Linked DNA regions of Caenorhabditis elegans. The protein of the gene in region 1 interacts with the protein of each later gene in a pairwise test. Each region holds a gene or a part of one and is shown in the gene's direction. Other genes may lie near its edges.

What was found.
Region 2: the proteins of kle-2 (region 1) and npp-9 interact in a two-hybrid assay, tested with the Caenorhabditis elegans proteins (one large-scale study listed by BioGRID).
Region 3: the proteins of kle-2 (region 1) and pygl-1 interact in a two-hybrid assay, tested with the Caenorhabditis elegans proteins (one large-scale study listed by BioGRID).
Region 4: the proteins of kle-2 (region 1) and imb-3 interact in a two-hybrid assay, tested with the Caenorhabditis elegans proteins (one large-scale study listed by BioGRID).

Annotation. Positions count from the first base shown.
Region 1 is NC_003281.10:7,939,419-7,946,656, forward strand, and holds kle-2 (Condensin-2 complex subunit kle-2), read left to right. Parts: upstream 1-2,298; 5' UTR 2,299-2,304; coding exon 2,305-2,406; intron 2,407-2,480; coding exon 2,481-3,230; intron 3,231-3,279; coding exon 3,280-3,805; intron 3,806-4,138; coding exon 4,139-4,519; intron 4,520-4,569; coding exon 4,570-4,824; intron 4,825-4,918; coding exon 4,919-5,103; intron 5,104-5,622; coding exon 5,623-5,889; 3' UTR 5,890-6,175; downstream 6,176-7,238. Other genes in the region: C29E4.10 (Putative galactocerebrosidase), read left to right, coding at 2-129, 205-635, 915-1,012, 1,061-1,308, 1,352-1,438; C29E4.12 (Protein FMC1 homolog), read left to right, coding at 1,736-1,953, 2,008-2,116; gsto-1 (Glutathione transferase omega-1), read right to left, coding at 6,177-6,436, 6,487-6,613, 7,152-7,238. UniProt on the Caenorhabditis elegans protein: Regulatory subunit of the condensin II complex, a complex that seems to play a role in prophase chromosome condensation and in chromosome segregation in mitosis and in meiosis.
Region 2 is NC_003281.10:3,399,576-3,406,802, reverse strand, and holds npp-9 (Nuclear Pore complex Protein), read left to right. Parts: upstream 1-2,526; 5' UTR 2,527-2,539; coding exon 2,540-2,557; intron 2,558-2,606; coding exon 2,607-2,699; intron 2,700-2,744; coding exon 2,745-3,170; intron 3,171-3,223; coding exon 3,224-3,721; intron 3,722-3,825; coding exon 3,826-4,286; intron 4,287-4,335; coding exon 4,336-5,233; intron 5,234-5,493; coding exon 5,494-5,637; intron 5,638-5,695; coding exon 5,696-5,812; 3' UTR 5,813-6,159; downstream 6,160-7,227. Other genes in the region: golg-4 (GRIP domain-containing protein), read right to left, coding at 1-28, 968-1,069, 1,114-1,227; F59A2.5 (L antigen family member 3), read right to left, coding at 1,394-1,553, 1,602-1,730, 1,842-1,924; Protein clpf-1, read right to left, coding at 6,225-6,335, 6,397-6,663.
Region 3 is NC_003283.11:3,576,553-3,585,777, forward strand, and holds pygl-1 (Alpha-1,4 glucan phosphorylase), read left to right. Parts: upstream 1-2,589; 5' UTR 2,590-2,615; coding exon 2,616-2,669; intron 2,670-4,834; exon of another isoform or gene 4,835-4,845; coding exon 4,846-5,526; intron 5,527-5,578; exon of another isoform or gene 5,579-5,650; intron 5,651-5,767; exon of another isoform or gene 5,768-5,839; intron 5,840-5,901; coding exon 5,902-6,123; intron 6,124-6,179; coding exon 6,180-6,736; intron 6,737-7,042; coding exon 7,043-8,000; intron 8,001-8,060; coding exon 8,061-8,237; 3' UTR 8,238-8,490; downstream 8,491-9,225. Other genes in the region: rpl-11.1 (Large ribosomal subunit protein uL5A), read right to left, coding at 8,817-9,056, 9,106-9,225.
Region 4 is NC_003279.8:309,641-317,034, reverse strand, and holds imb-3 (Importin N-terminal domain-containing protein), read left to right. Parts: upstream 1-2,045; 5' UTR 2,046-2,056; coding exon 2,057-2,212; intron 2,213-2,260; coding exon 2,261-2,881; intron 2,882-2,932; coding exon 2,933-3,147; intron 3,148-3,192; coding exon 3,193-4,109; intron 4,110-4,156; coding exon 4,157-5,199; intron 5,200-5,250; coding exon 5,251-5,401; intron 5,402-5,458; coding exon 5,459-5,634; 3' UTR 5,635-6,054; downstream 6,055-7,394. Other genes in the region: C53D5.5 (Gamma-glutamyltranspeptidase 1), read left to right, coding at 6,248-6,273, 7,274-7,394.

The DNA of each region.
Region 1 (7,238 bases):
GAATACATTACTTCTCATGTTAAGCGAGGATGGAAGATTTTAAGAGAAAGTAGTGGTAGATTTGATGGTGGAGGAACATATGTCACTTATACAAATGGAAAAGATTCCACCATTTTTGTAGAAACCATGGTAAGACTTTAATATTAATTATGAGAAATTGCTTCAAATGATTTGAGAATAAACATTTAATTCAAAAAATTTCAGAGTTACAAGAAATCTTTATGCGAATATTCATCTCCACGGCCATACCATGTCAAGCCAAGTCAACTTATTCGATTTAAATTCTCTGAAATTCCATCATTTCAAGGATTAAATATGTCATTAAACTTTGGACCTTCAAAGTTCTTTTCAAAATCTGTCAATTCTACAATTACCATTCTTCTTCCTGTTAATTCATTTGGAATACTCACTACACTTCCAGTTTCAACTCCGAAAAGAGTTACTATAAAAACACCATTGGTTCCTTTGAATTATCACGACGACTTTGAAAATTATGAATTCGACGAGGAGCCAAAGTTTTGGATGCCACAAAAAGGATCATGGGTGGTACGAAATGGACGGGCGGTACAGAAAGTGACACGCCCATCAATTAGTTGGTGCACCTCACACATTCGAACTCCATATGCAGTTATGGCGTAAGAATTGATGACTTTGACCTATGAGGAACTACAGTATACCGTATTCCCTCTAATATTTTTACACCTCTTTTCTCAACTTTGGCAGCTCATATCTCAGTAGTAGTTTGTTCTATAGAAAAGTTGTCAACTGATAAAAATTTAGATAGATGTTTTTTCTGTAGTTTGTAGTTTGTTAATTATTTATATGTCCAAAAAGGAGATATGAGGTGTCAAAGTTGAGCAAAGGGGTGCAAAACTAATAGAGGAAATACGGTATACGGTATTCCTTCCATTTAGGTATCGAAAGAAGAATAGTATTCTAAACGCCGAGGTCAATATTCCAAAACACTCAACAGCTAAATCCATCATTCTAGGTATAAGGAGTAATTGTAGTGGTATGTAATTAGTGTTGTGATTCATATTAAAATCTATTACATTTTCAGGATGTGACATAGAAGTAATAAACTGTCGTGGAATATTTGTTGAGATTGAATTTTCAAATAAAAAAGTAACTATATTTTCCGATTTCGTTGACCGTTCAATAATTGCTGAATTCAAAGCACGAAGAAAAGTAGAATTTGGAAAGTTTTATAAATTCTCAATTCATTTACTGGACTCGCATCTCTTCATAAAATTCGGAAATCATCATGTGATGACTTCAGTGGAAATTCCAGAAGAACAATTAAATAAGGTTATTAAAATAATCAATTGAATTTCAAATATAATGTTTTCAGACAAATAATGACACTTTATTCGTGATTGGCACTGGAAATTTTGGCATCTCCGAATGGGATAATATTTCAACAGATTATTTTCACTGAGGCTGATTAATTACATTCAAAAAGTATTTAATATTGCTTGGGCATGTTTCTATTAAAATAAATGTACCATTTTATAATTTACCACATTATTGGAAAATGTCAAAATCAATTGCCACAAAAAACTAGATTCAAACTTCCGCGCAAATGGTACCGCAACGATGCTCCGCGTTTCGCTAAACAACGCGCGCCTCACGCGCGCAGTTTGAATTGAGAACGTTTTCCTGTTTTCTTTTTTTGTCTGAATTGTGTTATTGTGCTATTTATTATCCCTTTTTTGTACATTTTCAAAATTAAAGTATGGCCTCTGCTGTTGGAAAAGGAGTGACCGCTTTCAACACCATCAAAAACATCATTTCGGAACTGAAAAAGGTCGACAAAACATTCTCCCCGAATTCGGCACAATATAAATACCTCATGGAGCAAATGAAAGCCGACCAGGTTACAACAAGAAGATATTCAAAAGCCGAGAACGAGTCAGAGAGCGTTGCAAAACTCTATTTGAGCTATATTAAAGGGTTCGTTTGTTTTATGAGAATAAGAAAGTAATAATCAATATCCATTCATTTTAGAACCCGACAGCTTAATGAACTTCAAGAGAGATATAAGGGTGGCGAGAAGAGTGTTGAAGAGGCTGCTGCTATTGTTGGATTGAAACTTCCAGAACAAAAGAAACTTTAAAATACTTAAAATTGTTATTTCTTTCTCGAATAGATTAGATTCCTGTTTTCTTTTCAATCAAAATAAAATACTTCGTTTTTAAAATACTATTCAGGTTTTTTATAACTTCCTTATGGTTTTCGTACCATTCTATATCTTTTTTATAGTTAATCATCGCCAGAGCATTGGAATTGTTGTTTCAGGTACAAATGACTAGGAATGCTCCTCCAGGTCAAGAATCGACAGATTTAGCATGGCTCGTCACACCCGCAAAAGATCTTGTCGAGAACTTCTCAATCGACGTGTTGAAAGTAAGGATAATTTTTTTTCACGGTTGTATCTTTTCTTTTTCGGTAAATAAAATAAATAATTGCTCGACTTTCAGGCACTCGCCGGATACCTCGAGGTTATCAGACAAGAAAGTGAAGACACAGATAATCAGGTGGATGCAGCGACAACTTACAGATTGTTCGATTTTCAACGAGCATGCCGGATTATTCAAGGATCGTGTGCCGTATATGGTCGAAAAGTAGATCATGTCTATGAACTGACGATTTCAGTTGTGGATTTAGTCGAGAACAAAGGTCAAGATGATGGAAACACCGGCAGTAGACGAGGAGCTGGAAGACGGAAAAATTTTAATTTGGGATCGACGAATTACGACTTGGCTGATATCGACTCACTGAAACAGGAAGCTCTAGCAAATTTTGAGAAGACAGTAAAAGAAGAGAAAAAATCGATTGATGCAGTGAGAATGGTCGAGAATGCTGAAGTTATAGAGTCTCAATATGAGCGAAAAAGCTGTTTAGTAGCAAAGCCAACCCAGTTCATGTTCAAGCTCAATTACGGCCAGCTCAATCGTACTGATGAACAAATTTTGAATGCAAAATCTCGTCCTGATGTTATCGGAAAAGTAAAAGATTTTGAAATTAAAAAGTCGAAAGTTAAACACGATCAACAAATACTCTACTCCCATGATTGTTATCGTGGAAATTTAGACCAATTCACACTACCTGGTGCTCGTTGGATGCCAGATAATAAGGAATTGGCAGCTAATTTTGGTGTTGCTGATTTGGAAGTTGAGTTAGATTTGGAGCAAGAGCATGAGAAGATCAGTGCATATGGACCGTTTAAGGTAAGTGGTAATAATTCGATGAAACATTTTCAAAACTTGATTTCTTCAGGATCCTCTCTCTGGCCGTGAAGTTGTTCCACCTCCTCGTTGGTTCATAGAGCAAGAAGCAGTTCGTCAAAATCAAGAAATTCAATCTCGTGCCACATCGAGAGCCATCACAATTGCAGCTAAAACTCTTCGAGATTCTCAAGGCTTTGGATCTCAACCAACTCGTCTCTCACAACCATTTGTTGAACGACATCGACAGAGTAATCATTTGAATGATTTCTTGTCATTTGTGGAGGGAAGAGTTAATAAGAATCGCCCGAGCACTCATCTTACCACTGGCTTAGTTGATATGTTCGTTGATAACTTTGGATCTGTTATGCAAAACGATGAACCAAACACTAGTAGAAGACCTGATGAGAATTACGCGCCCATGGACTTTGATGATGATTTTGGTGGTGGAGGAGACGATGACGACGATGATTATATTCGAAATTTGTCCAGAAGGGATGAGAAGCGAGCACCGGCACCATGGGACGAGCTGGATAAAAATCATATTATTTGGTACACGGGAGACGAGAATCTGCCAGGTATTTGTTGAATTAATGGGATTCTTTCGGTATTTTTTAGATTATATATATATATGAGCCGTGGACCGCACCTCCGGCGCGGCCCCCGACTTCTGGAGCTGAAAACCAATTTTTCTGAAACTACCGTAATCATACAGTACTCCTACCGTAATCATACAGTACTCCTACCGTACCACCATTGTACCACTACAGTACCCCGACTATATCCCTACACTAACCCCAACTCACTATCCCTCCAGAAGCTAAAACTTCGCAGACTACAAAGACTACATAGACTACAAGCTATGGACAAACGGAATAAGCGCTTTATATATAGTAAATGATATATTTCAGTCGTTAGCAAGCCGGTAAAAAAGATCACGAAATTCCAACCAAAACCCGCTGAAATGTTGGCTAGGAAGCAACGACGTGAGGAAAAGATCAATAAGTCTCGACGAGACGAGTTCATGGAAACTCACGACTATCTGCAGGATTACTACTATTGGAGAAGTGCGGCTCGTATAAATCCGATTAAGGACTGGAAGATAGAATCACTTCGTACTGCTATTCTAGCCGAGAAGAAACGAAGAATCAAGGAAAAGACTGCAAAAATCCGAGAAGCTCGTATCCAGAATATGCAGAGAAAACGGACAGCTCGTGTGATACCCGTGGAGCAATTTGAACCGGTAACAGAGGATATTCCAACGTCTAATAGAAGAACCCTCGGAGCTGAATGTAAGAAATTTCAATTTTATGAAATTTAAACTGAATTATATTTTTTCCAGATGACGACGTAGTCGATGAAGATCTTGCTGCCGAAGTCGAGCTCTCAATGTTTGGAGGTGGGTTCGATGACGACGAAGAAGACGTGCGGCCACGTGGTGAACGGCCTCCTATGGCTCCAAACAACCTAGAATTCGATGCTCTTCAAACAGATTTTGATATTCCGCCTGCTGAATATGTTCCATTAAGATTCGAGGATATTGATGATGCCGAACTGAACAGTGTTATCAATTTACCTGGAAATTTGCTCATCGACAGTAAGTTATTTGCAAAATTTTATAATAAAATTTTAAAATTAATACTTTGAAATTGTACTCTCTCAAGTCTATCAAGTAAATTTTCTATTTACAGAAGCTTTACCATTGCTCAAGAAGTTTGCTGAAAATCGAACAGATCGCGAACAAATGGCTTACGAGATGGCTAAAGCATATGAAGATGTGGATGTTGCCGTGTCAACTCTACAAGAACATGTTGACAAATGGCATTCTCGAATGGAACCAATCCTCGAAGAAGGAGAAACTCGAAAAGAGTATGATGTATGTTTTAGAGTATTTAATCTTAAAGGTGGAGTAGTGCCAGTGGGGATTTTGTCTAAATACACTTATAGTGATTCAAAACAACCGAATATCATAATAAAACACTCCAAAAAGTTTTAGATTTTTCATAATTTCCGGTCAAAGTTTTGGCAAATTGCCAAAATTTTGAAAAATATGAGCTTTTGAGGTTATTTAAAGAAATGTCGTATGTTTCGACCCCTACAATGTTTTAATACAATTAATTTAAACAAAATTAAAACAATAAAAAATGTAATAAATTTTTTTGGTCGACTTCCAAACATATGAGTGGCAAAAACTGAGTAATTGCCAGTTTTTGACAGTAAATAAAAAAATTTTCAAAAGTTTTATCATGATATTTGGTCATTTTGGAACCAAAGGAGTGGTTTTTAACAATTTCCCCACTGGCGCTACTCCACCTTTAATATTCTGGTCAACCACAGTAATTTGAAAAGTCAAAATGTCTAAATGTTTGAATTTCTCAATTATAATAATTTTCAGGTTCACGCAGTTGGTCGTGCTGTCATTGGCCAATACGATATTGAAGGTGGCACGAAACGTTTACTAGATTTGGTTATGGATCGTCCATGGTACGAAATCAGTCGATACTTCCTTTCGTGCCTCTTTATGTGTAATGTCGGAAATGTCATGGTCAGCGAGGACATGGAACTGCCACTCGAGGAAAGAATCAACTCGATGAAAATCACACTACTCAAAAGAGATATGCATTGTGAAATGTTCAAGGAGGCTGGCGCTCTTGATGCCTAATTTATAATTATTGTTTTTTTTGCATTAAATCTCCCGAAAACCATCTTAATTTATTTAAACATTCCTCATTGTCTCTACTTGTATCTCGATTTCTGGCTATACTTTCATTTTACTGTATCAATTAATTAACTTCTAGATGCCAAGTATTTTTCTTCTGTTCGTTATGGTACTTTACTGACTGTACAATAACTTTTTTTCCGACGAATTACCACTATTTCTTTGATTGTTTTTTAATTACGTCCTTCATTTTTTATTCAATCTTAAAAATAAATCGACTGGTTTTAATATCAAAGGCCCAAATCATAATTCAATTCCTGGTGCGTGGCATATGCGTTCATGAATGCAGCGCCATGTTCCAAAGATTGGGTGACGGATTGAACAACATCTGAAGAAATCATTTTCTGGAACCATTTTGTCAATTTAGGATATTCTTCTTCTCCTGGGAATTCAATTGTTGGTAAATCGACAACTCCATCCAAACTAGCTGACCACCAAATTTTCTCAAAAAATGGAAATGATAAGTAGTCTGGATAACCTGGTTGAGATCCTGAATAGTTTGAATTTGGTCAAAAAATTGTATCGATTAATTGAACTCACCAGCATAAAAATCATTGGCCAAGAGATTTTCAGCTTGTTTCAAAACTTCAAAAACTTTTCGCTGCTTTTCATCTTTCAAAGTTCGGTCTCGCATGACGGCGAAGAGCAATGGAACTGCATGGGCTACCTGAATTGCTTATTTAAAACAAAATAGTTTAGAAAATAGAAAAATTCAAGATCATATTTGAATTTCCTCCAAAATGAATAGCCACGCCCACTCTCAAACCAATCAGAGTTTTGGACTCCAAACACTCATCTGATTGGTTGAAAAATGGGCGGAGCGAATAACTGATTTTTTATATTAGAGGAAGTTCAAAAAGGGGATTAGAAACTATGTATGTTTCCTTCCATTTTTAAAGGTATTGGTATCGCTGCGCCTTCAAAACAACTGTAGAGACGTGCAGATCTTTTTTTTTATTTTAAAAGTTTTAGTTAAAGTTCTGGTAAATTGGCAAATTTCGAATAATGTGCTTTTAGTAATTTCGAGCATTTCGGAAAGTGAAATTTAGAACTCGTATAAAACAATCATTTTTTGGACGACTTCCAAAATTAGGATAGAAGGAAACTAATGGTAAATAATTGCCATTGCATTAGTCTTAAACCATGTTTATTGTTTTTATATATAACACTTTTTATTTCTTTTGAAAAACAAAATAAAACCAAACCGCAGTTAACCTGTCCGCTAGCAGCTTTTGTTGCACCTTTTCGTACGGGTCAGTTGGAAGAATACGAGTTTCTGGAAATGCATCATC
Region 2 (7,227 bases), 4.5 Mb from region 1:
TTTCAGACATTATTGCTGACGAGGATTCCTGGAAATTTATTGAGTCTCAGAGAGATTTTTACAAAATGTTTGACCATTTGTTTCTTATTTTTAGATGAAAATAACATGTTTTTCCTGTTTTATTGATAAAAATTGTGTGTTTAATTGAAAAACGTTTTTTCATTATTTTCCTGAAAATAGCTTAAATTTCAGACATTTTTCTAATTTTTCAGAAGAAAAAAAATTTTCTCATAAAAAATTTTTTTTTTTGCGAATTTATCGATTTTCGGGAAAACCGAATTTTTATTTTTCCGATTTTTTTGGAAAAAAATAGCTCAAATTTTGACATTTTTTTCTTTTTCAGAAAAAAATTATAAACATAATTTTATTTAAAAAAATTTAATTTTCGTATCAATTTTCTACATTTTTTAATTTTCGATATTCTCTGAATTTTTAAAATTCTTTTTTAAGAGAAACAGGATTTCCTCTTTTTTAAATTTTTCGACAAAAAAAGTCATTTTCGATCATTTTCGTAAAAATGTGACCATTTTCAACGAAATCTCTGATTTTTAATGGTTTTTCCCAATGAAAAAAAAAATATTTTTTGGTATTTTTTGAGTTTTCTTGTAAAAAACATGGAAAACATACAAAAATGTGATTTAGATGCGGAAAAAATATATTTTTTTTGCAATTAAATTGATGCAAAACTTCGAAAAAATGGCGAAAAATTTTAATAAAACCTTAAAATTCGTACATTTTAACGGTCTCACAGCTGCTGGAAATAGATTTTTATTTAAAAATCTCTTTGTTTCGCATATTTCTGCTGTTTTTGGTACATTTTTTGGATTCCGAACTAAATCTCACAAGAAATTGTTTTTCAACAGTAAAAATCCATTTTTCCGGAAATTTTCACGAAAATGGTTGGAAAATAATAGTTTTTCGACGATAAATTCAATTTTTCGAGAATTTTTCATGTTAAAACTCTCACAATAGAGGTATTTGCTGGATTTTCAGCTTTAGTTTCTCCTGATTCTCCGGTGAATCTTTTAGAAATCGACGCGGATGCATCACTGCCAGCAGGCTGCTCATTCTGCAATTTTATCGATTTTTTCTCAGTTTTCAGTGGATTTTTACCATCGCCTGCCGATATTGTCCAACTTGAGCGGCGAGTTGTTCTCCATACTGCTGAGCTGATTGTTTAAGCTTTCCGGCTTCATTATCCAGCCGGTTTTTCAGGTTTTTGAACATTTAAACCTGAAAAAATCGATTTTTTAGTGGGGAATTTGCAATAAAATCGAAAAAAAAAGTATTTTAAAGGTTAAAAACCATATTTTTAAGAAGAAAAAATCATGAAAAGTTGAAAAAAATTCATTTCAAAAAACAAAAACAGAAAAAATAACAAATTTTAATCAAATTAAGCCTGAGATCCGTTTGAGAGTTTTCTTTTCAATCCGTTTTCCTTCGATTTTCCCAGATTTTCACAAAGTTTGATAGTTTTCACGGACAAATCGATCATATCAACAGCGTTGGCAATGGATTTTGACAATGATTTCGGATCTTTTGATTCGATTTTTCTGAAAATTAACTTATTTATTTAGTTATTCGAATAGAAAAACTATTACATGACTACAAATTCGCCTTCGCTGCACACTTCCCGTCGAGCACCACTTCTTCTCGGCTCTTTATCGATTTTTATGACATCTGCCACGGTTCGAGCCGCTTCTTCTGTTCCGACGGATAATCGTACGCTTCTGGAATTAATCGGATTAGAAACTGCTGTTAGAACTTCAGAAAATGTTAATTTTGAAACAAAAACATTTAAAAAACAGTTTGTTTTTTGTGTTTTTTAGCGAAAAACTCACGCTGAGTGGATATATGCCGTGCTCGGAGAGCTTGGGTCACATTCGTCCTCTGAAGATGACGATGAGCTTGTGTCTACTTCCATTTTGTTGTTGTAATCACTAAAAAACACAATTTTGAAAGTTTCTGATGAAAAATCAATAAATTCGCTGAGAAAAGTGAATAATAAATGCTATTCCAGGCAAAATTGACATTTCAAAAACCGAAAAAGCCATAAAAAACGACGGAAAATATCAAAAATCCTGTTTTTCGCCTGAAAAACCGGTATTTTCCATGAATAATTGCCAACTCATGGTTAAAGGCGCGCGTGTCGATTTACGCAACGGGTCTCGCCACGGCGCAGGAATTTGAACTTTTTTCGAAATTTGCGAAGCTTGGCGCCCAATTTCTATTTATTTTAGACTGTTTCGCCATAGTTTTTCCGTATTTTTACGAAAAATAGCTGGAAAACATTTTTTGTGCGTTTAAAAGCATATTTTATACAGAAAAGACTAGTTTTAAAGGTAGGAAAGCCCTATTTTAAGCAGGGAAAGCGTTGGCGCGAAATTTCGAAATTCAAATCCCTGGCGCGAATTCTTTGAAGTATTGCTGCTAATTTTCAACTAAAGAGACCGCAGTATTCGTCTTTTTATCTCGCTTTAGCTTGAAGTCTCTTGAATTGTTTACCTGATATTTTTCATATTTCAGCTCTCCTTTCGCAATGAGCGATCAGAAGCCGGTAAGTGAATCTTTTCGAATGTTGCTCAACATGATTCACGGTATTTCAGAATATGGGGCGCATTGTCGCCAGCGTCGTGGATGTGCAGCAGTTGATGACAATGCAGTTTGACTCGCTTATCAAAAGCATGGACTCGTTGAAGGTATGCGATTCATGAAAAACTCAATTTAATACTTATTTTTCACAGATTGAGCACCAGACCGGCGTCACCCAGCTTCGCGATGATATTCGTCGATCCGAGGATCGGTTTCAGAAGCAGTTGTCCGATTTGAGCACTAATCACGGAAAAGAGCTCGAGAGACTTCATCAAATTATACACACTCTTCTTGCTCGTGATGCGAATCCTCTCGGCTCAATGATTCCTCCACAGCAGCTTCAGCAACAACAGCAAATGTTGATTCTTCAGCGACAAATGGAGATGGCTCATGTGCAGGCAGCACAAGCTCAAGCTCATGCTCACGCTCAAGCTCAAGCCCAAGCACAGGCCCAAAGCCAAGTTATGGCTAATTTGCTCAATGCTGCGAAGCCAGCTATTCCCGTTACACAGCCACTGGTCGCCACTACAGCACAAGCAAAATCGACAGTTCCAGCTTCTGGAGTTATTGCACCAAAGGTAACAAATTTTCGGGTTTTAGTTCCAGCAATTAAAAATTCAATATTTTTCAGACATCTCCACCAGAAGTTGTAATTCCACCTGCTAAGCCAACATTCTCTACTCCAACGCCTGCAGTTGTTCCAAAGCCAGCCACCACCGGATTCTCATTCGGCGGGACCAATCCAGCTACTTCAATCTTCGGTAAAAAGCCTGAAACTGCTTCCCCAGTCGTGGTTCCAGCAGCTAAAGATGATGAAGACGAAGAACATGATGAGGATTACGAGCCAGAGGGCGAGTTCAAGCCAGTCATTCCACTGCCAGATCTTGTCGAGGTGAAAACTGGAGAAGAAGGAGAGCAAACCATGTTCTGCAATCGTTCAAAACTCTACATTTATGCCAACGAGACGAAGGAATGGAAGGAGCGAGGAACCGGCGAGCTGAAGGTTCTCTACAACAAGGACAAGAAGTCGTGGAGAGTTGTTATGCGACGAGACCAGGTGACCATTTCGGAGGAGACACTCCCTTCAAATATTGAGAATGGAACCGAAGAATTGTGTTGGAATATTCAGGTTATTCCAATTACAGCTTTTTTCACATTTTTCGGCGTTTTCCTCAACAGAAAGATCTTAATTTAAATTTAAATACCTTAATTTAGCATTAAAATAAATTACAGGTTCTCAAAGTCTGTGCCAATTTCCCAATTCTCGGCTCGATGACCATTCAACAAATGAAATCCAACGAGAAGGCCTACACATGGTTCTGCGAGGACTTTTCCGAAGATCAGCCAGCTCACGTGAAGCTTTCCGCTCGTTTCGCTAACGTCGATATCGCTGGAGAGTTTAAGACTTTGTTCGAGAAGGCTGTCGCTGAGGCAAAATCATCGAGCAACGCTGGAAAGACCATCGACAAGGAAATCAAGCCGGCGGCTGAGGTGAAGAAGGAAGTCAAGCAAGAAGTTGTGATTCCATCAAACAACAAACCGGAAGAGACTGGATTTGGAGATCAGTTCAAGCCAAAACCAGGATCTTGGGAATGCCCTGGATGCTATGTTACTTGCAAAGCTGACGAGATTGAATGTGCCTGTTGTGGGACATCGAAAGACGGATCTGTCAAAGAGAAAAATATATTCTCTAAGTAAATATTCTATTTGAGTTATCTTAAAATTAAAAATTTAAATTTGCAGACCTTCGATCCTCCAGCCTGCCCCAGGAACTCCAAAAGTGACATTCGGATTCGGAGCATCTGCTCCAGCCAAGGAACCTCTTGCTCAAACATCTCAGTTCGGTGGATCACTCAGCGGATCTCCAAGCACTAGCAGTAGCATTTTCGGTGGTGGAACACCAAAGGGAACAAGCGTTTTCGGTGGAGGTGCTGCTAATACTCCAACTTTCTCATTCAACAAGCCAGCTGCCGCTGTCAATGCAACTACCCCATCGTTCAATTTCAACAATCCTGCAGCTTCAACTGCTTCTCCGGCAACCTCTACGACTCCAGGAAATTCATTGTTCGGAGGTGGACTCTCCAAGACTGAATCTACAGCTTCTTCAACTACTACTCCGTCGTTTATGTTCGCCAAGAATTCTGAAAGTGCCTTCCCAAAGCCAACTTTCTCATTCGGAAAGCAACAGACTCCATCAACGACTGCACCAGCTAAACAAGAAGAAAATAAACAGTCCGAGACGCCAAAATCCGTGTTCGGTAGTGGATTCACGTCTGGAGGTGCAACATTCGCTGCCCTTTCAGCCAACTCTGCCAAATCTGGCTCCATTTTCGACGCAGCAAATGTCAAGAAGGCCCAAGAAGAACTTGCTGCTCAGAAGAAGGCAAGCATTTTCGGGAGCAAGAACACCACGTTGAACACGACTTCTGCAACTTCACACGATGGTGATGAGACGAATGAGGATGGAGATGGGGAGTATGAGCCAGAAGTCGAGTTTAAGCCAGTTATTCCTCTTCCGGATTTGGTTGAGGTGAAAACTGGTGAAGAGGACGAGGAGGTCATGTTCTCCGCCAGATGCAAGCTTTATAAGTACTATTCGGATCTCAAGGAGAATAAGGAACGTGGACTCGGAGATATTAAGGTCAGATTTAGGATTTTATATCAAAATGAGCCAGCTTGGCATGTTCTTTTGATAGTTTTCATTAAAATTTAGTGATAAAACGTAGAAAATAACTTATTTCAGTTGAAACAGTTAAGAAAAGTGCTAGTTTTGCGCACTTTTCAACTGTTTTGCAAGTATTTTCTATGTTTTTTCACTAAATTTTAATGAAAACTATTAAGAAAACAACTGATTTTTGACTCATAGAGGCTAAATTTGAGAAAAATAATTTATTATTTCAGCTCCTGAAAAGCAATGACAACAAATATCGAATCGTGATGCGTCGTGAGCAAGTCCATAAGCTCTGTGCCAATTTCCGTATCGAAAAGTCGATGAAGCTCAGTCCGAAGCCAAACTTGCCAAATGTGCTCACATTTATGTGCCAGGTAGCAATTTTTAATTTCTTTTTATATAAAAATGTACTATAAATTCCTTATTTTTCAGGACTTCTCAGAAGACGCCTCCAACGCTGATCCAGCCATCTTCACCGCCAAATTCAAGGACGAGGCGACCGCCGGAGCATTCAAGACGGCTGTTCAGGATGCTCAATCGAAGATGTAATCCTCTGCTGATTATTTAAATTATTTTATTATTGTTATTCCTCCCCACCCAGCACTCTGTGTTAGTATTCCCCACCACCAATTTTATTTATGAACCTAGTTTTATTCATCCCCATCTGCTGTCATCTATAGTCCTTTAAGTGTAGTTTATATTTGTCTGGTAAGGTTTTTAAAAAAATAATTTCCTTATTTCCCCCCCATCTCTCTCAAAATCCCATTGTTCTCATAAGTACCCCCCACACACTATCATTCATAATTTTTGTCTTTAAAACTTAACTATATTGTTCACATTGTCCCGGCATCGATTTTTCCCCACTGGTGACAATCCAATAAATTGTGAATGCATTGAAGAATGAGATTTATTTTGAGGGCGGGAAACAAATAAATAGGGATTAGGAAAAAAAAGAAATAAATTATCGTTTTATTTGATCATCAAGATGGGTGATATCTGAGAAGACGAGAACTTTCGATGGAATTGTACGCTGTGGGCAGAGAATTGACATTGTTCGCTTCTCCAAATCAACCTGAAATTTGGATAAAATTGAAATTTCCGTTCGAGACCCAAAAACTCGACGAAATACCAACCTCCGTGACAAGACAAAATCCAAAAACCGGCGATTTCAGCACATTTTCGTCGGCTTTCGTGCTCCGCGAGAACGCGAACAAATGATGTTTAATGTCGGCACTGGGCTCCATGATAACCAGCTTTGTCTCATGATTTTCAACTTCCATTCCGAATGGTAGACATGAATCGGGCAGTTGCTCGGCTCCGATTTTACAAAGAGTGACGTCATCGAAGCTGACGTCAAATGTGAATGGGTAGAGATTGTTGGCACGGGTTCCGTAGAAATACTGCAAAAAAAAAGTTTTTTCTTAACAAGTTAGGCTTTAAAACACTGAAAAACCAAAAAAAAGAAAAAACCCGCAAGTGCGGTAGGGTTGCGGAAAAACCGTGTCAGACAAATAAGTCCCGCCCCCTCAAATAATAATTTTTCGAATATTTAAGCTCTAAAGCCAGTTTTACTCGAATTTCTAGACCATAAAATACAGAATTCTTTGGAAATGTTTTATTTTTAGAAAAAAAATGCCTGAAAGGCCCAGGGACAATATTTTCGTGAAGAAAATTAATTTTTCAGCTCAAAAATTCAAATATATATATTTTTCCGATTAAATCAAATGTTTTCCAATAGAAAATAGACAAAAAATACAGAAAACTTGTCAAAATCACTCAAAAACTGCAAAAAATTTCATAGAGCGGAGCCTTTTAGCACGTGCGGCAGGGCTGCGGAAAAACCGTTCCAGGCTTGCAAATAAGCTCCGCCCCTTCAATTTATATTCATTTTTCGAATATTTCAGCTCTGAAAAGCTGATTTTTGTCGATGTCTCTAGTGCAAATCAAAGATTTTTTTGGAAAAA
Region 3 (9,225 bases), on another chromosome or scaffold:
CCATTGACAATGGCCAACGCGCGGAAAAGTCGCATGTACTCCACACGGACAAATAAATTAAGTTTTACAACTAAAATCGAGCCGCGACGCGACACGCAGCGCACCGTGTGGCTGAGCTATATGGCCGAACCGAAATGGCCTAGTTCGGCAAACTCTTCTATTTCAAAATATGAGGGAGCCTAGAAATCCGTGTATAATTGAAGGAATAGGTTTTGTTTTGTGTCTACAAATGCCAGCTGCTGCCAACAAGAATTTGTTTTGGGAAACAATCGAATTCTAAGAAATTCAGTTAACATTTGTTTTGATTCTATCCTTCCTTATTTTTCAACCCGACTGGCAATGAGTTCCTTGCAAGAATATTGTCTCTATCTCTCCAATTTTCCAAATGTTCAAAATCCGAAACGTTCTTGTGTTGTTGGCAAGGACTGGCCTATACCTCCCACGCAATTACCGCCGTACTTGTATCATTTCACATATTAGGCGGTTACTGTATTCTGCTCAAGACCCCACCGCAAATGGCATCTTATCGATGGCCATTGTTTAATTTACATTTTTGGTGAGTTCTACAAAATTGAAAAAACTGTTTTTTTTTAAATTTCGCTCTAGGACATGTTTCGTGGATATTCTGCTCGGTGCGCTTGTGACCCCCTATTTATTTTTTTCCGGCTCTGGCTTGGTTCACAGTTGGGCTATTGAGCCTGCTGGGGGTGCCTGATTCTGTTCAAGTTGGCCTAGCATCCGTGTTTGTGTACTGTGAGCGACGAAAAGAAACAGCGAAATGTTCGCTTTTTTTTTTCTAAAAAAGGCAAAAAAATTGAGGATAGGCCGCGCTGCACACGAAAATGCAATCGCGCTCTAACGTCAAAGCTCCGCTCCTACAAGTTGGGTCTCGTTAGGTATCGGCGGTAAAACCGTAGTTTCAAAAAATTTCAACTATTTTCGTCGATTTCCAAACATGGTGTCAAGATGTTCCATAGCGACTTGATCTACAAAAAATAAGGGAAATTTTTCCACAGAAAAATTACCTCATCACACTCTAAACCATGCGAATTCAATTAAGAAATGTGCGTCTAAATTACCGAAGCGATTATTTTTTATTTCATAAAACTGTTCAGCATAATCAAATATACCAGAAAATACCAAACAACATACTCTAGCTTGTACGGAAGTTTATTTTAAAAAATTTCAAAACTTAACCAAAAGCTGTTATATTCAAAAATTCAAAAGTACGGTAAAATGGTATGGAGTCATTCTTTTTTATTTCATAAAACTGTTCAGCATAACTAAGTATACCAGAAAATACTAAACAACATGTTGTTAATTAAAAAAGACATTTTTTAGCAGTTTTTCTTCAGATTTTATTACGGACACACTAAATCCTGAGAATGCGTATTGCGCAACACATTTGACGCGCAAAATATCTCGTAGCGAAAACTACAGTAACTCTTTAAATGACTACTGTAATGCTTGTGTCGATTTACGGGTTTGATTGTGTCATCACTGTCACTGTTCGAAAATAAAATCATTTCGAAAATCGAGCCCGTAAATCGACACAAGCGCTACAGTAGTCATTCGAAGGATTACTGTAGTTTTCGCTACGAAATATTTTGCGCGTCAATTGTGCTGCGCAATACGCATTCTCAGGATGTAGTGTTCCAGAAATATCTAAAATATAAATTTATTTAAAAAAATAAATTTTTAGCAGTAAAATTGAATTTTTTTAATTGTATTAAACATTTTAATAATATTTTATTATTGAACTAGAGGTTGTTTCATGAAATAATTTGAAATAATTTTTTTTTTCAATTTTTTCGAAAAAAGGTAATTATTTTTGAATTTCTGACGATAATTTAGCGATTTCTGGCTTGAATCACCTTTTTCTTTCAAATTTTCAGACTTTTTTTCCGGAAAAAAAGTAAAATCATCGATTTTTACGCCAAATTTTTTTTTCTAGTGGTATTTTTTTTCTAGTGGTATCAATTTTCCTTCACGCAAAAAATATCTGAAAATTAGATGAACGGTGTTTTAAGTGTTTTAAATCGAAAAATCAAAACAAAAACAATTAATTTTGACAGAAAATGGGAAAAAGTCAAAACGTTTCATTTATTTGCGCAGGAATTCGAAATTAATTCATCCACTTTTCTTATATACTTGCAAAATTCTTTTTAAAAAATCATTAAAAAATTGAGATAAAAAGTTTTTTTTCAACAGTTATATTATGTTGTTACGGCCAATTTTCTATGCTTTGAAGCAAGTTTTCAATATAATTTGTTCTAAATTTGATCTTAAATGAATTTTCTTTAAAATAATCTGCAATTTTTAGGAAAAACTGTTTTTCAAGCAAGAAAAACTAAATTATTTATTTATTTTTAATTAAATTTAAATTCAAATCCGCTACGGCGAGTACGGTGCGCATCGGTGTTTGCGTACTCGCCTACCGTACCCTCGGTGTTGTTGGCGCGAAAATTTTGTTTTCCAATTTTCAATCATGGCGCCAATTTCTGCATTTTCGGTGCAATAAACCACTTGTTTTCGTCAATTTTTTGATTGTCTTCTCCAAATTTTTATCAGTCATTCTTCACTGTTCACCTTCGTAGCCGCCGGTGACACCGAAAATGTCGGATATTGCTGCTCGTTTTGGATTCTTCAACTGGAACAACGTGCGCCCGGTAAGTAATTCGCTGATTATTTCATGCTATCAAGCTTCTTCTTCATCATCTGCTTCATCTGCTTCATCTCTTCATAAGCCAGAAAATCATAAGAAAAAAAACAGCGAGCAGGCAGGGATTTAAGTGAGTGTGTGCGTGCAAAATGGGGAAACGGCCGGCTGAATCTTGCCGAAAAACACGTACGCTTCACTTCAGGCTTCTCCTTTTCGCTTCTCGCCGGCACACACACACACACACACACATGTCAGTCTACTTTTCCCGCCACTTTTCTTCAGCCCATCCTCTTCCTCTTCTATAGGACTTCGGCTCCCAGCTCTCGTTTCACTGGTCATTTCATTTCATAAGCGACGGTGAAAATTGGAATCTATCGAACCTATACGCCTCAAGAATCGTTCACCTTGCCCCCTCCAGCTCGTCGCGTTGTTTGTGCGGTGATTGGTCCTCACTGTACATATACAGTGTTCAAAAAACGGAAAAATACCCGTTTTGTTGTTCTGCTGCACCGCCCGTCTTCTCATTGATATCATAACAGGAGGCGGTGATGATAAGAAAGTCGGGAAATTAATATTAAAGCTTCTAGAAACAGATTTTTCCTCGCCAAAAAAAAAATAAAAAATCTCTTGATTTCTTGGTTTTTCAATTTTTCAATCTTCAATCTCGTCATCTTCTCGACAAAAAATTTGAATCTCCGCCTGCTTCTCTCTCTCTCTGTTTCCCTATCAGTGTCCGTCGGGGTCACACACAACATGTATTTTTCTCTACATCTCTGCTTCTCCCAGAGTTGTTTTCCTCTCCTCACATTTTACACACACGCTCACAAACCCCTTCGCATCCTCTCCCCATCCATTTTTTTTAGATGGCTCGGGCCTCTATGCTCTTTTTTCGATTCCACATAAGCGTGGCAGCTCCCCGAAAGTTTTCGGAACTTTTTTTCAAATTTTCTCAATTTCCAATGGCATCGATCATTCACGTGCACACACTCGTCTCAGTTGAAAAAGAATTGATAAATCGGCAGTGACAAGAATTGTTTATCAAACACAAAGCGGCCATGTCTACCGATAGTCTTTTCCATATTCGAACAGATTTCCGCAAGATTTTAATTAATTAATTCGAGTTGACAGCACAATCTTTGAAGATTCGGTTTTGCGACAATTAAATGCTTTTCTTTGACAAAATCATAAGTAGAAAAGCTTTAAAGTTCAAGCTTCAGGCTAAACAAAAAAGGCTGTGAGCAAAGAACAAAGTCTTCCGTAGCCCAGAAGAAAGTGCCCCTCACTTTCATTAATTTTTTTTTCGATTTTCTTGGGCCGACCGGGTGATAAAAATACACCGAAATATCCTGTCGTCGTCTACTGATTGTTGTTTTATTATCACTTACGCGTTATCAGTTTATCGGTAGTTTTCTGCATGTTGACTGACCGCCGACACGGTCAACACTGATATTATTCGACGTTTTAGCCTGATCAGTTTGAAGCGATGCATTTCACTCCTCAATGATCAGCGAAAATATTTTTTCTTCGATTTTTTTTTTGGTTCAAGGAGGAATGCTTGCTTGTATAGGATCAAAACTTCGCAGAAAATTACTAATTTTAGCTAAGATCCCCAGTTTTGCCAGCTTTTCCGTGTCGCAGTGCTCAGAGACTAACTTTTATTTGATTATCATCTTTTATTGCATATTTTCATCACTTATTTCGTTGATTGAGGCATTTTTGGTCCCTTATCGGCTTAAATGCACCTAGATCAATGAAAAAACGTTGGATAAATGCCCAATAAATGATGTTAATCAAATAAAAGCTAGTTTCTGCGAACTGCGACACGGAAAAGTTCGCAAAACTAAAGGTTTTTGCGGAAATTTGCGATTTTTTTGAAAAATATAGCAAATCCACGTGGCTTTCATACTTTTTTCAAAAATCTTTCATCTTGGAAATCACGGGGCCGGCCCCTGCTATCAATATTGATTGTTGACTGATCACTGAACTGCCCCCCTCCTGTTGACTTTGTACTGCGTCGACTACTATCTCGCAACACATTTTGTTTTCTGGCCTGACTCGCCATTGCCTGCAGTGTTCGAAATTTTTGTTTGTCCACCATTCTTATCACAGTAGCCGAACAAGTTATAATTTTCACCACTTTCCGCTCATTTTTTCTCCCAAAAAAACCAATTTCCAATTTTCAGCAGCCCGTGGTTGCCGAATCGACTGCCTCATCGTCGAGTCCGAAGCTGTTCAGCATGATCACCAACGATCACGATCGTCGCAAGCAGATCTCCGTGCGCGGAATCGCTCAAGTGGAGAACGTGTCGAACATCAAGAAGGCGTTCAATCGCCACCTTCACTTCTCGATCATCAAGGATCGTAACGTGGCCACCGATCGCGACTACTACTTCGCGCTCGCCAACACTGTCCGCGATCATCTCGTGTCTCGCTGGATACGAACTCAACAACACTACTATGACAAGGATCCGAAGCGGGTCTACTATCTGTCGTTGGAGTTCTACATGGGGCGAACGCTGTCGAACACAATGATGAACCTCGGAATTCAGGCGACCGTCGACGAGGCGCTCTACCAGCTCGGTCTAGACATTGAGGAGCTTCAGGAGATCGAAGAGGACGCCGGGCTCGGAAACGGAGGACTCGGACGTCTCGCCGCGTGTTTCCTCGACTCGATGGCCACGCTGGGTATTCCGGCTTACGGATACGGGCTTCGCTACGAGTACGGAATCTTCAAGCAACTTATTCGTGACGGATGGCAGATTGAGGAGCCAGACGATTGGCTTCGCTTCGGAAATCCATGGGAGAAGGCTCGTCCAGAGTACATGCTTCCGGTCAACTTTTATGGAAAAGTTGTGAAGGAGGATGTGAGTTTTGATTTTTTGGAGAAAATTAAATTTAAAAAAATAAAAAAGGAATGGGCCGAACTGGGGATTGAACCCGGGACCTCTCGCACCCAAAGCGAGAATCATACCACTAGACCATTCGGCCATGTTTGGAAATCGTGTTTGGAAGCAATCAAGATGCACAATAATCGATAATTGGCTGATTGCGAGAAATAATAAGATTCGATATCTCTTCATCACCAGCTTTCACGTATCTAATCGTGGCCGAATGGTCTAGTGGTATGATTCTCGCTTTGGGTGCGAGAGGTCCCGGGTTCAATCCCCGGTTCGGCCCATTCCTTTTTTCTTTTTTTCGCTTACTTTTTTTATTTTTCATTAAAAAATATATTATTTCAGGGAAAATCGAAATGGATCGACACTCAAGTTGTGTTTGCCATGCCATACGACACACCAGTCCCCGGATACAAGAACAACATCGTCAACACGCTTCGTTTGTGGTCCGCCAAAGCCGAAAATCATTTCCACCTCAAGTTCTTCAACGACGGAGACTACGTGCAGGCTGTGATGGATCGTAACTTGTCCGAGAACATCACTCGTGTCCTCTACCCGAATGACAACGTATGTTTGAGCTAGATTTTGGCAGAAAAAAAAAATCAATTTCCCCACATTTTCAGATGTTCCTCGGAAAGGAGCTCCGTCTCAAGCAGCAATACTTCCTCGTCGCCGCCACCCTCCAGGACATCATCCGCCGCTTCAAGTCCTCCATCTACGGAAACCGCGAGGCCGTCCGTGTCAACTTCGAGACCTTCCCGGATAAGGTGGCCATCCAGCTCAACGACACTCATCCATCGATCGGAATTCCCGAGTTGATCCGTCTCCTCATCGACGTCGAGGGACTCACCTGGGATCAGGCCTGGGACATTTGCATCAAGACCTACGCCTACACCAATCACACCTTGCTCCCAGAGGCCCTCGAGCGCTGGCCAGTGTCGCTTATGCAGAATTTGTTGCCGCGTCATTTGGAGATCATCTACGAGATCAATCAGAAGTTCATGAACACCATCTCGCAGAGATTCCCAGGAGATTTCGACCGTATGCGTCGTATGTCGATTGTCGAGGAGGCCGATCAGTTCGGCGAGAAGCGCATCAATATGGCTCATTTGTGCATTGTGGCTTCTCATGCCATTAATGGAGTCGCGGCTCTTCACTCGGATCTTCTCAAGAGCTCCACGTAAGCGAAAATGCTCTGAAACCTGGCGCTAGAACCAATGGGCGACGCATCATTTTGCAGCTCCGCCGCACGAATTTATTTTGGCTGTTTTTCGCATGATGTTTTGAAAGATTTCGATATGTGAACTCGATAAAATCACGAAAAATTGATAATTTGTCATTGAAAATTCGGACAGAAAGAGAAAAAACATCGTGCGGCGGTGTTGCTAAATCGCGCGCCGCAAATTGCAATCCCGGCCCGCCCAATTTTTCTTACGCGCAAATTGCAAAATTACCATTTTAAAAAATTAATATCATCCATTTCCAGCTTCCGTGACTTCTATGAGTTCTACCCGGATCGCTTCCAAAACAAGACGAACGGAATCACACCACGCCGCTGGCTTCTTCTCTCCAACCCATCTCTCGCCGACCTCATCGTCGAGAAGATCGGCGAGTCGTGGATCACCAATCTCGACGAGCTTCAGAAGCTCAAGGAGTACGCCAACGATGCCGGGTTCCTCGATTCGATTCGTCGTGTGAAGCTCGAGAACAAGCAACAAGTCGCCCAGTATTTGAGCGACGAGTACAATGTCAACGTGAACGCCGCTTCGTTGTTCGATGTGCATGTGAAGAGAATCCACGAGTACAAGAGACAGCTTCTCAATATTCTCCACGTCATTGCTCTCTACAATCGTATCAAGGAGAACCCGAACATCGATATGGTTAAGCGTACCGTGTTGTACGGAGGAAAAGCTGCTCCAGGATACCATATGGCTAAGCAGATCATTCGTTTGATCACCGCCGTCGCCGAACAAGTCAACAATGATGCCATCGTTGGTGATCGTTTGAAGGTCATCTTCCTCGAGAACTACCGTGTCTCGATGGCTGAAAAGATCATTCCAGCTTCTGATCTCTCTGAACAGATCTCGACCGCCGGAACCGAGGCTTCAGGAACCGGAAACATGAAGTTCATGTTGAACGGAGCTCTCACAATCGGAACTCTCGACGGAGCCAACGTTGAGATGGCCGAGGAGATGGGCGACGAGAACATCTTCATCTTCGGAATGAACGTCGAGGAGGTTGAGGCGCTCACAAAGCGCGGATACTCTTCGCAGGAGTTCATCGACAAGAGCCCAATGCTCAAGCAGATCATCGAGCAAATCGAAGGTGGCATGTTCACTCCAGAAGATCCAGATCAGCTCAAGGATCTCTCCAACATGCTCCGCTATCATGATCGTTTCATGGTGTGCGCCGATTTCGACGCTTTCATTGAAGCCCAGGATAAGGTAAAACTCAAAAAATTCAACTAATTCAAATTTTTACTGATCAAAATAAATTATTTTCAGGTCTCCGCTACATTCCGCGACCAAGAGAAGTGGTCTCGCATGGCCCTCTACAACATCGCCTCGACCGGAAAGTTCTCAACAGATCGCACAATCACCGAATACGCTCGTGAAATCTGGGGAATCGACCAGTTCGAGAGCTCTCTTCCAGCACCATATGAGAATGAGAAGAGCGAATAATTCTTCTATGCACTAACATTGTAATTAATTATCGCCATAACTTCCCCTCCTCTCCGTCCCATTTAGTTTATAGCATTTTTATAGAAGCCTTTCCCTCCCCCGATAATTCTTGTGAATCTTCAAGATCAAATTGATTTTGTCCTCTCTGCCCCCAGTCCAATAATCGTACTTCCCCCGAATGTGTTGCCATACTTTGAGATTGTCTATTTGCACGTCTGCCCTGCATATTTATGATAAATTGACTGAAAATATCAACTTTTTTTTTTTAATTTTGACTCGAATCTGCAAATGCTGAAATTTAATTAAAAATTATGGCTGTCTGAAGGATCTTCAAAGAAGTTTCGATACCTCTACGACCAGCTCGTTAGCAAAATACCAAACTCCTTTTCGATGAGTTTTCAAAATTCCTGGATAAATATCCTGAACTTTCTACATCAGAAGACCATTCGCAACGTAAAATTATTGATTCCAGGAAGTTGAAGTTCAGATCCACGACAATCAGACTATGATTCACAACTTTAACAAAACATTAGCAATTTCATTTTTAATAACAACAGTTTATTCAGAAAATAGAAAAACTTAACGACGACGGAAGAAGTTCTTCTTGACCTTTGGCTTTGGTGGCAGAATGATTCCATCGTACTTTTGCTGGAACCATTTGATTGTCTCCTCCTTATCGACACGGTGGGATGGTCCAATGCGTCCTGGTGCACGTCTGCGCTTGGAAACTCGAACTCCGTTGCGGTTCAGAACGACGTAGAAGTCCATTCCGTAGATTCCAATTCCTGGGTCGTACTTGATTCCGAGATCAATGTGCTCCTGGAAACAAAATAATCATCACTTTTGAACACTTCAACTTTAAGCTAACCTGAACTCCGAAACCGAAGTTTCCAGTGTCAGAGAAGTTCTCTTTGAAAAGCTCGTATTCCTTGACCTTGAGTCCCTTCTCGAGGATTTCCTCAGCCTTTGGTCCACGAACGGTGCAATG
Region 4 (7,394 bases), on another chromosome or scaffold:
AGCACAACTTCGATGGAATTCTTGAGGTGTTACTTATTTTTTAATTTTAAAAAATTAAACTTCGTGAGAGGACCCTCGCTGAATTGGGAGCCCCCTCGTGGAGCGAAAGTATCAAACCGTTGTGAAACTCTTCGATCGTGCCACGTTGCTCGGTAGCATGATCAGAAGGACGCCGAGAAGAAGTGATAGGATAAGGAGACGACTGCCAAGAAGATCAAGCCATGCTTGTTCTTTCTAATAATGTTCTTTATATTTCGTTCCTGTTCAGATTTCTTATTCCCCCCTCCCCATTCGGTTAATGTTCTTCTCTCTCTTTTCCTTGTTCAGCATATCTACTAAGTATCCCTCTCTGACGAGTTTTATATTGGTTTTCGAGACAATGAATGTTTTAAACGTTATATTGATGTTATTAAATGTGTTATTCAGTCAATCGGAAGAAAAACTAGATAAAAACAAACTATTCAGCTGAAATTCATCGAAAAAAGAGGAAATTTTCGGTTTTTCTCAGAAAATCAGTGGAAACATAATGAGAAACATAAAATATGCACTTTTTTATTTTTTAAATTACTATTCTCTATCACAAAACATTTTTTTTCGACTTTTATTCGCTTAAATAATGAGAAAAGCGCTTTTAGCCAGAGCTGATATTGACGAATTGTCGTCAAATAAAATGCGCGTACGCAAAGTACGCAATAGTGTACAAAACTTATTCGCGTTGAATATTCAGTCAGCCAAATGGGACTACTGTAGAAATTTCTTCAGCCACGTTAGCTTTGCCTCCCCGTGTTTCGGGGAAATTTCCAATATGATTTGCGCGTAAGATATGATGCATGTACGCAAATACCGAGATTTATTGCACAATATTGTGCGCGCTACGCAGAAATGGCGCGAAACTCGTAGAATGCTCATTCTTGCAACCTGCGATCTATCAAATTTCGCCCCTCCACTGGTTTTGATGTTCTACGTTTGCACTTTTCGGACAATTTTTCAATTCAAAATTAAAAAAAAGGAGACCCGAAGAACTCGGGGGATGTCCAATTGGGGGGATTACCAACTCGGGAGTTTGGCCCCGCCCACAGAACCGTGGCTTGCAATACGCCCATTTCTGCAACTGCCGCACGGTTTTAAAATTATTTTTTCTTGTTAATTCTCGCTCTATTGAGAAAAATACAGTTTTAAAACCGTGCGGCAGTTGCAGAAATGGGCGTATTGCAAGCCACGGTTCTGTGGGCGGGGCCAATCCCCCGAGTTGGTAATCCCCCCAATTGGACATCCCCCGAGTTCTTCGGGTCTCAAAAAAAGTACACTTTCTCCTTCATTCCTTGAGGAATTTGTATCACAAGTAGTTAATTATTACTGATTTCCCAGCTCGCACATTGTTTTTACTACTGATACGTATTTACTCTTTTTACTCTTCTGTCTGAAAAAAAAAGCGAAAAACACACTCTTTTCAACTGCGTCTCTTTCAGAATTACTCTCCATCGTCGCCAGACACTGGTTGCCTGGAATAGGTATTAGAGATTTTGCCGTTTATTTTTTTCTTTTTTTGTCAGTGCACTGGCCAATGTAATGCCAAAATTGCAAACAGTTCTCTATGCAAATATTAGTTTCTCGCTGACTCATTCCATCGATTTTTTATTTCGCAACACGCTACCATCATCATATTCCAAACATAAATCATCATCGGTTGTCGCCGAAAAGTTGCGAAAACTCGCTGAAAAAACCAGTAAATGTCGTGAAAATCACGTGAATCCTTTTAAAATTTGAACTTCCCGCCGTGTACAGTTTAAAGTGCGTGTGACGCAGCAAGTGCGCTCCGTTGAGAATCGTGCACTCGAGGCGTTTTTGTCCCAAAATTCAATATTTGTTGGCCTATTTTTCACATTTTCCGATAGGTTTTTTGTTGAAAATGCCAATTTTTATACTAAAAATCTATTTTCCTCAGCGATTCCGCGTATTCCCCAGGCGTTTATCTGCAAAACCGACTCGCTTTCATCTTTTTCCTTCTCAATTTTGAAATTTTTAGCACATATTCTGATTTTCAGGGTTCCCTACAATGGACGTCAATCAATTCACTGAGCTCATCACAAAACTGCAGTCAGCAGACAATGATATCCGAAAACAAGCTGAAGAAGTCTATGAAAAGATTGAAGGACCAACCAAAGTAGCTGCACTTTTCGAGGCCTACACACACCACACGAATAATTCTGATGTTAGTTCACTCAAATTCCTATATATTCCATGAATTTTCGATTTTCAGGCCAGATCCACAGTTTTGGTGTTTCTGCGACGAGTTCTCGCCAGAGACTGGGATGCGATTTGGGAAACGCTGAACGAGGAGAACAAACAGCGCATTCTCGCCAAAGTTCTCGAGATGATAGTTCACGAGACCGAACTCTCGATTAAGAAGAAGATTGCTGATTTGATCTCTGAAATCGCTTCAAACCTCATCGACGATTCTGGAGATATGACATGGGGAGGAGTCCTCGAGCTGATGGATCATTGTTTGAAGAGCGAGGATCTTACCGGAAACTACATAGCCCTGCTTATTCTTCGCGGATGCCCAATAATTTTTGGAAACAGGCTGGCCCACTTCCTTCCAACCCTCAAAGTTGTCTTGGAAAAGTGCATGGCTACACCGGATTTGCAAATCAAGGCCACCGCCGTCCGTGCTGTTATCGCTTTCGCTGTTGATAATGATGAGGAGAAGGATGTTGTCAGGCTTATGACCTCTCTTGTTCCAAATGTTCTTCAAGTTTGCAATGAAACCAGCGACGAGGATGATTCAGATGGACCACTCGGAGAGTTCGCCGAGCTCGCCTCTTCTCTGCCAAAATGCCTTAACACTCATATGTCTCAGGTTCTTCAAGTCACTCTTGCTGTAAGTAATTTAAATGGCCCAATTTAAAAATTTCATTTTTTCAAATTTCAGATTGCTGGAAACAAGGAAAAGAACGAGATGGTCCGTCAGAACGCCATCGAAGTTATTTGCTCGTACATGGAATCCGCACCAAAAGGACTCAAGAAATACGCACCAGGAGCTCTTGGACCAATTCTCGAGACTCTTCTTTCATGCATGACCGAAATGGATGACGATGTGCTCAATGAGTGGCTCAACGAGATCGAAGAGGAAGAAGACTATGAAGAGTAAGGATAAATTTTTAGTTTTTCTTCAATTAAATTATTTTTCAGTATCCCAATCATCGCCGAAAGCGCCATCGACCGTGTTGCTTGCTGCATCAACGGAAAAGTGATGCTCCCAGTGTTCCTTCCACTTGTCGAGAAGCTTTTGACCAGCGAAGACTGGAAGATGAAGCACGCGGCTCTTCGCGCGTTCTCCGCCGTCGGTGAAGGGTGCCAAAGATCTATGGAACCACACATAGAGCAAATTATGGCTCATATCACCAATTACGTCAATGATGCTCATCCAAGAGTTCAATACGCGGCTTGCAACGCCATCGGACAAATGTCTTCTGACTTCGCTCCAACTCTTCAGAAGAAGTGCCACGCCGCCGTCATACCAGCTCTTCTCGAGTCTCTTGACAGAACCGATGTTCCACGTGTCTGTGCTCATGCCGCTTCGGCTCTTGTCAACTTTGCCGAGGAGTGCCCAAAGAGCATCATTGGACAATATCTTCCATTCATTCTTCAGAAACTCGAAAATGTGCTTTCCGCTGTGTTCAATCGTCTCGGAGACAAGAGATACCAGGTTGTCGTTGAGAACATCGTCACCGCCATCGCCTCCGTCGCTGAAGCCGCCGAGGAGCTCTTCAAGGAACATCATGCTCGCCTCATCCCGAACCTCGTTCACATTCTTCAAAACGTCGGAGAGCTCAAGGAGTTGAGAGGAAAGACCATCGAATGCATCTCTCTCATCGGATATGCTGTCGGAAAGGAACAATTCCACGCTACTGCAATCGAGATCCTGAACCTTCTCGGAGACGGAATGAAGGATTTGGCTATCGATGATCCACAATACAGCTACATGATCAGCTCATGGACTCGTTTCTGCTCTATTCTTGGAGCCGATTTCGCACCATTCCTCCCAGTTGTCATGGATCCAGTTCTTCGTGCCGCTCGTTACCGCCCAGACTTCAATATCTTCAACAGTGAGTGTTTTTTAGTTTTACGTGTTAAAAAAATATATAAATTTCAGACGAAGATGTTCACGAAAACGAGGAAGGAGTTGAATACCACGGAATCGGAGGAGAAAAGACTGTCGGAATCCGCACCAGCGGTCTTGAGGAGAAGGCAACTGCTTGCGATATGCTTGTCGCGTTCGCCAAGGAGATGAAGGAGGCTTTCATGCCATACGTCGTCGACGTCTACGAGCTCGCCATCAAGAATCTCGATTTCGGACTTCACGACGGAGTTCGTACGGCTTCCGCTGAAATCATGCCATGCTTGTTGACCTGTGTTGAGAAGCAAGGATTGGCTGACAAGCGTCGTTTGTGGTGCGAGTTCTTGAAGGCATTGACGACCTCTATGGAGGAGGAGGACGATGTCGAGATTCTCGCCTCGTTCATGACGACCATCGGATCGTGCATTGAGGTTATGAAAACCGAGGGAATCGCCGAGGAAGAGGTTCAACTCATCATTTCGGTGCTTCTCAAGCAACTTGAAAACTACGGAAAGAGAATGAGCGATCGTCCAGTTGAAGATGAAGATGACGATGATGCTGAAGCTAAGGAGGAGCTCGATTATTTCATGGAATTGGAGGCCTCATGCCTTGGAGCCATCTCTGATTTGACTCACTCTCTTATGAAGGAGTTCAAGGGAACTATCTTCGAGGGAATGATCAACGTGTTCAACTGTGCCATTCAACTCATCGAGGGATCCAAACAATACTTCGAGAGACAATGGGGAATGTGCCTTCTCGATGACGCCATCGAGTTCGGTGTCGGACATATGCCAACTCGCTTCCCGAAGCTTATTCCAATAATGTACAAGTTGTTGGGAGATGAGTATCCTGAAGTGAGACAAGCAGCGAGCTACGGTTTCGGAGTTATGGCCATCAACTACCACCAGATCAGCGACTACCGAAACGAGATTTTGAGCTGTTTGGAGCCACTGGCCGCCATGATTCAACGAGAGGACGCCCGAGCCACCGAGGAGAGCACTGTTGCCACGGAAAACGCGATTTCTGCATTTGCCAAAATCATCGGCAATGTGCCACTTCCTGCTGAAGCCTACGGAAAGGTTGGTTTTAGAATTCAGTTTTTCAAGAAAAAAGTTCCATATTATTTCCAGGTCGTCGAGATGTTCCTGAGCTGGTTGCCAACATATTCAGACACCGAGGAAAGCCCCTACATTTACACGTGTCTCGCCGAATTGTTTGATAAACAAGACGCCGCACTTTTTGGACCAGAAAATCAGAATCTTCCGAGAATCTTCCTTGTTTGTAAGTTCTAATCTAAAAAAATCCGTAACTTATTTTATTTTTATTTGTATTTTTCAGGCTTGCTCTCAATCGCCAACGATGCTTTCAACGACGACGATAGCGGCAACCAAACCAAGCAAAGAATTGTCACAATCCTGAAGCAAATCTACGCATCGTTCCCACAATTCGCGCAGCAAGATGGAATCGACGAGCACCTTACCAGTGTCCTTCAACAAACTCTCAATGGGCAATAATAAGGACTTTTGTTGTGTTTTTTTTTTTGCTGTTATCTTCTCCATCTTCACCGAAATGAATCTTGTTCACTGTTAATCGCTTGTTTCGCGGCTATCCTCCTATCATCATCATCAGTTTCTTCTTTTGTTCCACCACTTCTCCCCGATGCCACATTTTCTCTAATTTTTATTAGTTACCTATCGACTTTTTTTCTGTTGTGTTGAATATTATCCTCATTTTCAAATCTACTCGTTAGTTGTTACAGTTAAAGTTTTTGAAAATAATTTCAGCCAAAACCTCCACTTTCTCCTATACTCCAAATCTAAAAGTCATTCTTCCGTAGTCCTCATTGTTCCCCCTTCCACCCAACTCTCTCCCACCACAGAATATCTCTTCTGTCACTTGAAGACTATCCTCGATAAAGAGAGCTATTGGCGGTTACCCCCTCTTCTCTTCTCTTCTCGTTTGTCATTGGAGCGCGCTTACACGCAGCAAACTGTAGCTCTTATCTAGTTTTGCGATAGAATTCCGTTATCGTGAAAAGTTGCAATTTTGACATTCTCGTCCTAAATTTCCAATTGACAGCGCTTTGACTTTTTCTATGATTTTTTAATTCATACTCAATTCTGAATAATGACTCCTGAAGGGCAATCGACGAGGTGAGAGAAAAATCGATAATGTTAAAAATTCGCGGGTTTTTCGAGAAAATATTATACGTTTGTGAAAAAAATTCGAATCGAGACCCAAACGAGGCGGCATGAGTTTCTGAAAAAAATATATATATGGATTCAAGATTTAAAAAGTGCATTGTTTTTAAATTTATAATGCTGGAAATATTACCCAAATGCGAAAATACGGTACCAGGTCTCGAAACGACCAATTTTTTAAAAATAAAAACAAGCGTGCGCCTTTAAGGGAGTACTGTAGTTCTCACATTTGCAAATTCTTTCAAAAAAATCATGATGCTTTGAAAACAACTATCGATGAAAATTTAATTTTTTGAAAAAATTGATACAACTTTTTTGGTATATGAAAAACGGGCAATATTTTCGGAATTTCGAAAATTAAATTAAATTTTATGAAAAGTCGATAAAAATCGATACATTTTTGTTTGAAATTGCACAAATTCAAATTTTAGAATCTAGAAATCTATAAATTCAAATTTTTTAATCCAGAAAATCGATTATTTTCTCAAAAAATTGAAAATACTCTTCAGATTCATCTTTTTTGTGGAATATTCAAATTTTTGGGAAACCTCTGATTTTTGAAAATTCCATTTTTAAATCAGAATTATTACGGCAACACAAAATTCTGAGAATGCGTATTGCGCAACATATTCGACGCGCAAAATATCTCGTAGCAAAAACTACAATAATTCTTTAAATGACTACTGTAGTGTTTGTGTCGATTTACGGAAATCATTCATTAGTCGATAAATTGTTTTTTAAAAAACACAAAAAAAATGAAAAAACCGAAACCCCGTAAATCGACACAAGCTTTACCGTAGTGATTTAAAGAGTTACTGTAGTTTTCGCTACGAGATATTCTGCGCGTCAAAAATGTTGTGCAATACGCATTCTCAAAATTTCGCGGTCTTGTAATAATAGTGATCATGCCACTCAATACATCAAATTTGACGCGCAAAACTCGACTTTTCAGCAGTAACCCACCTCCTGTTCAATACTATAACACGTTTCCGGACGATGATAATTTACCGCCAGAATATGGACCATTTGATGAAGTTGAGCCGCTTATCGAGGCCGAGCAACCCATGAAAATC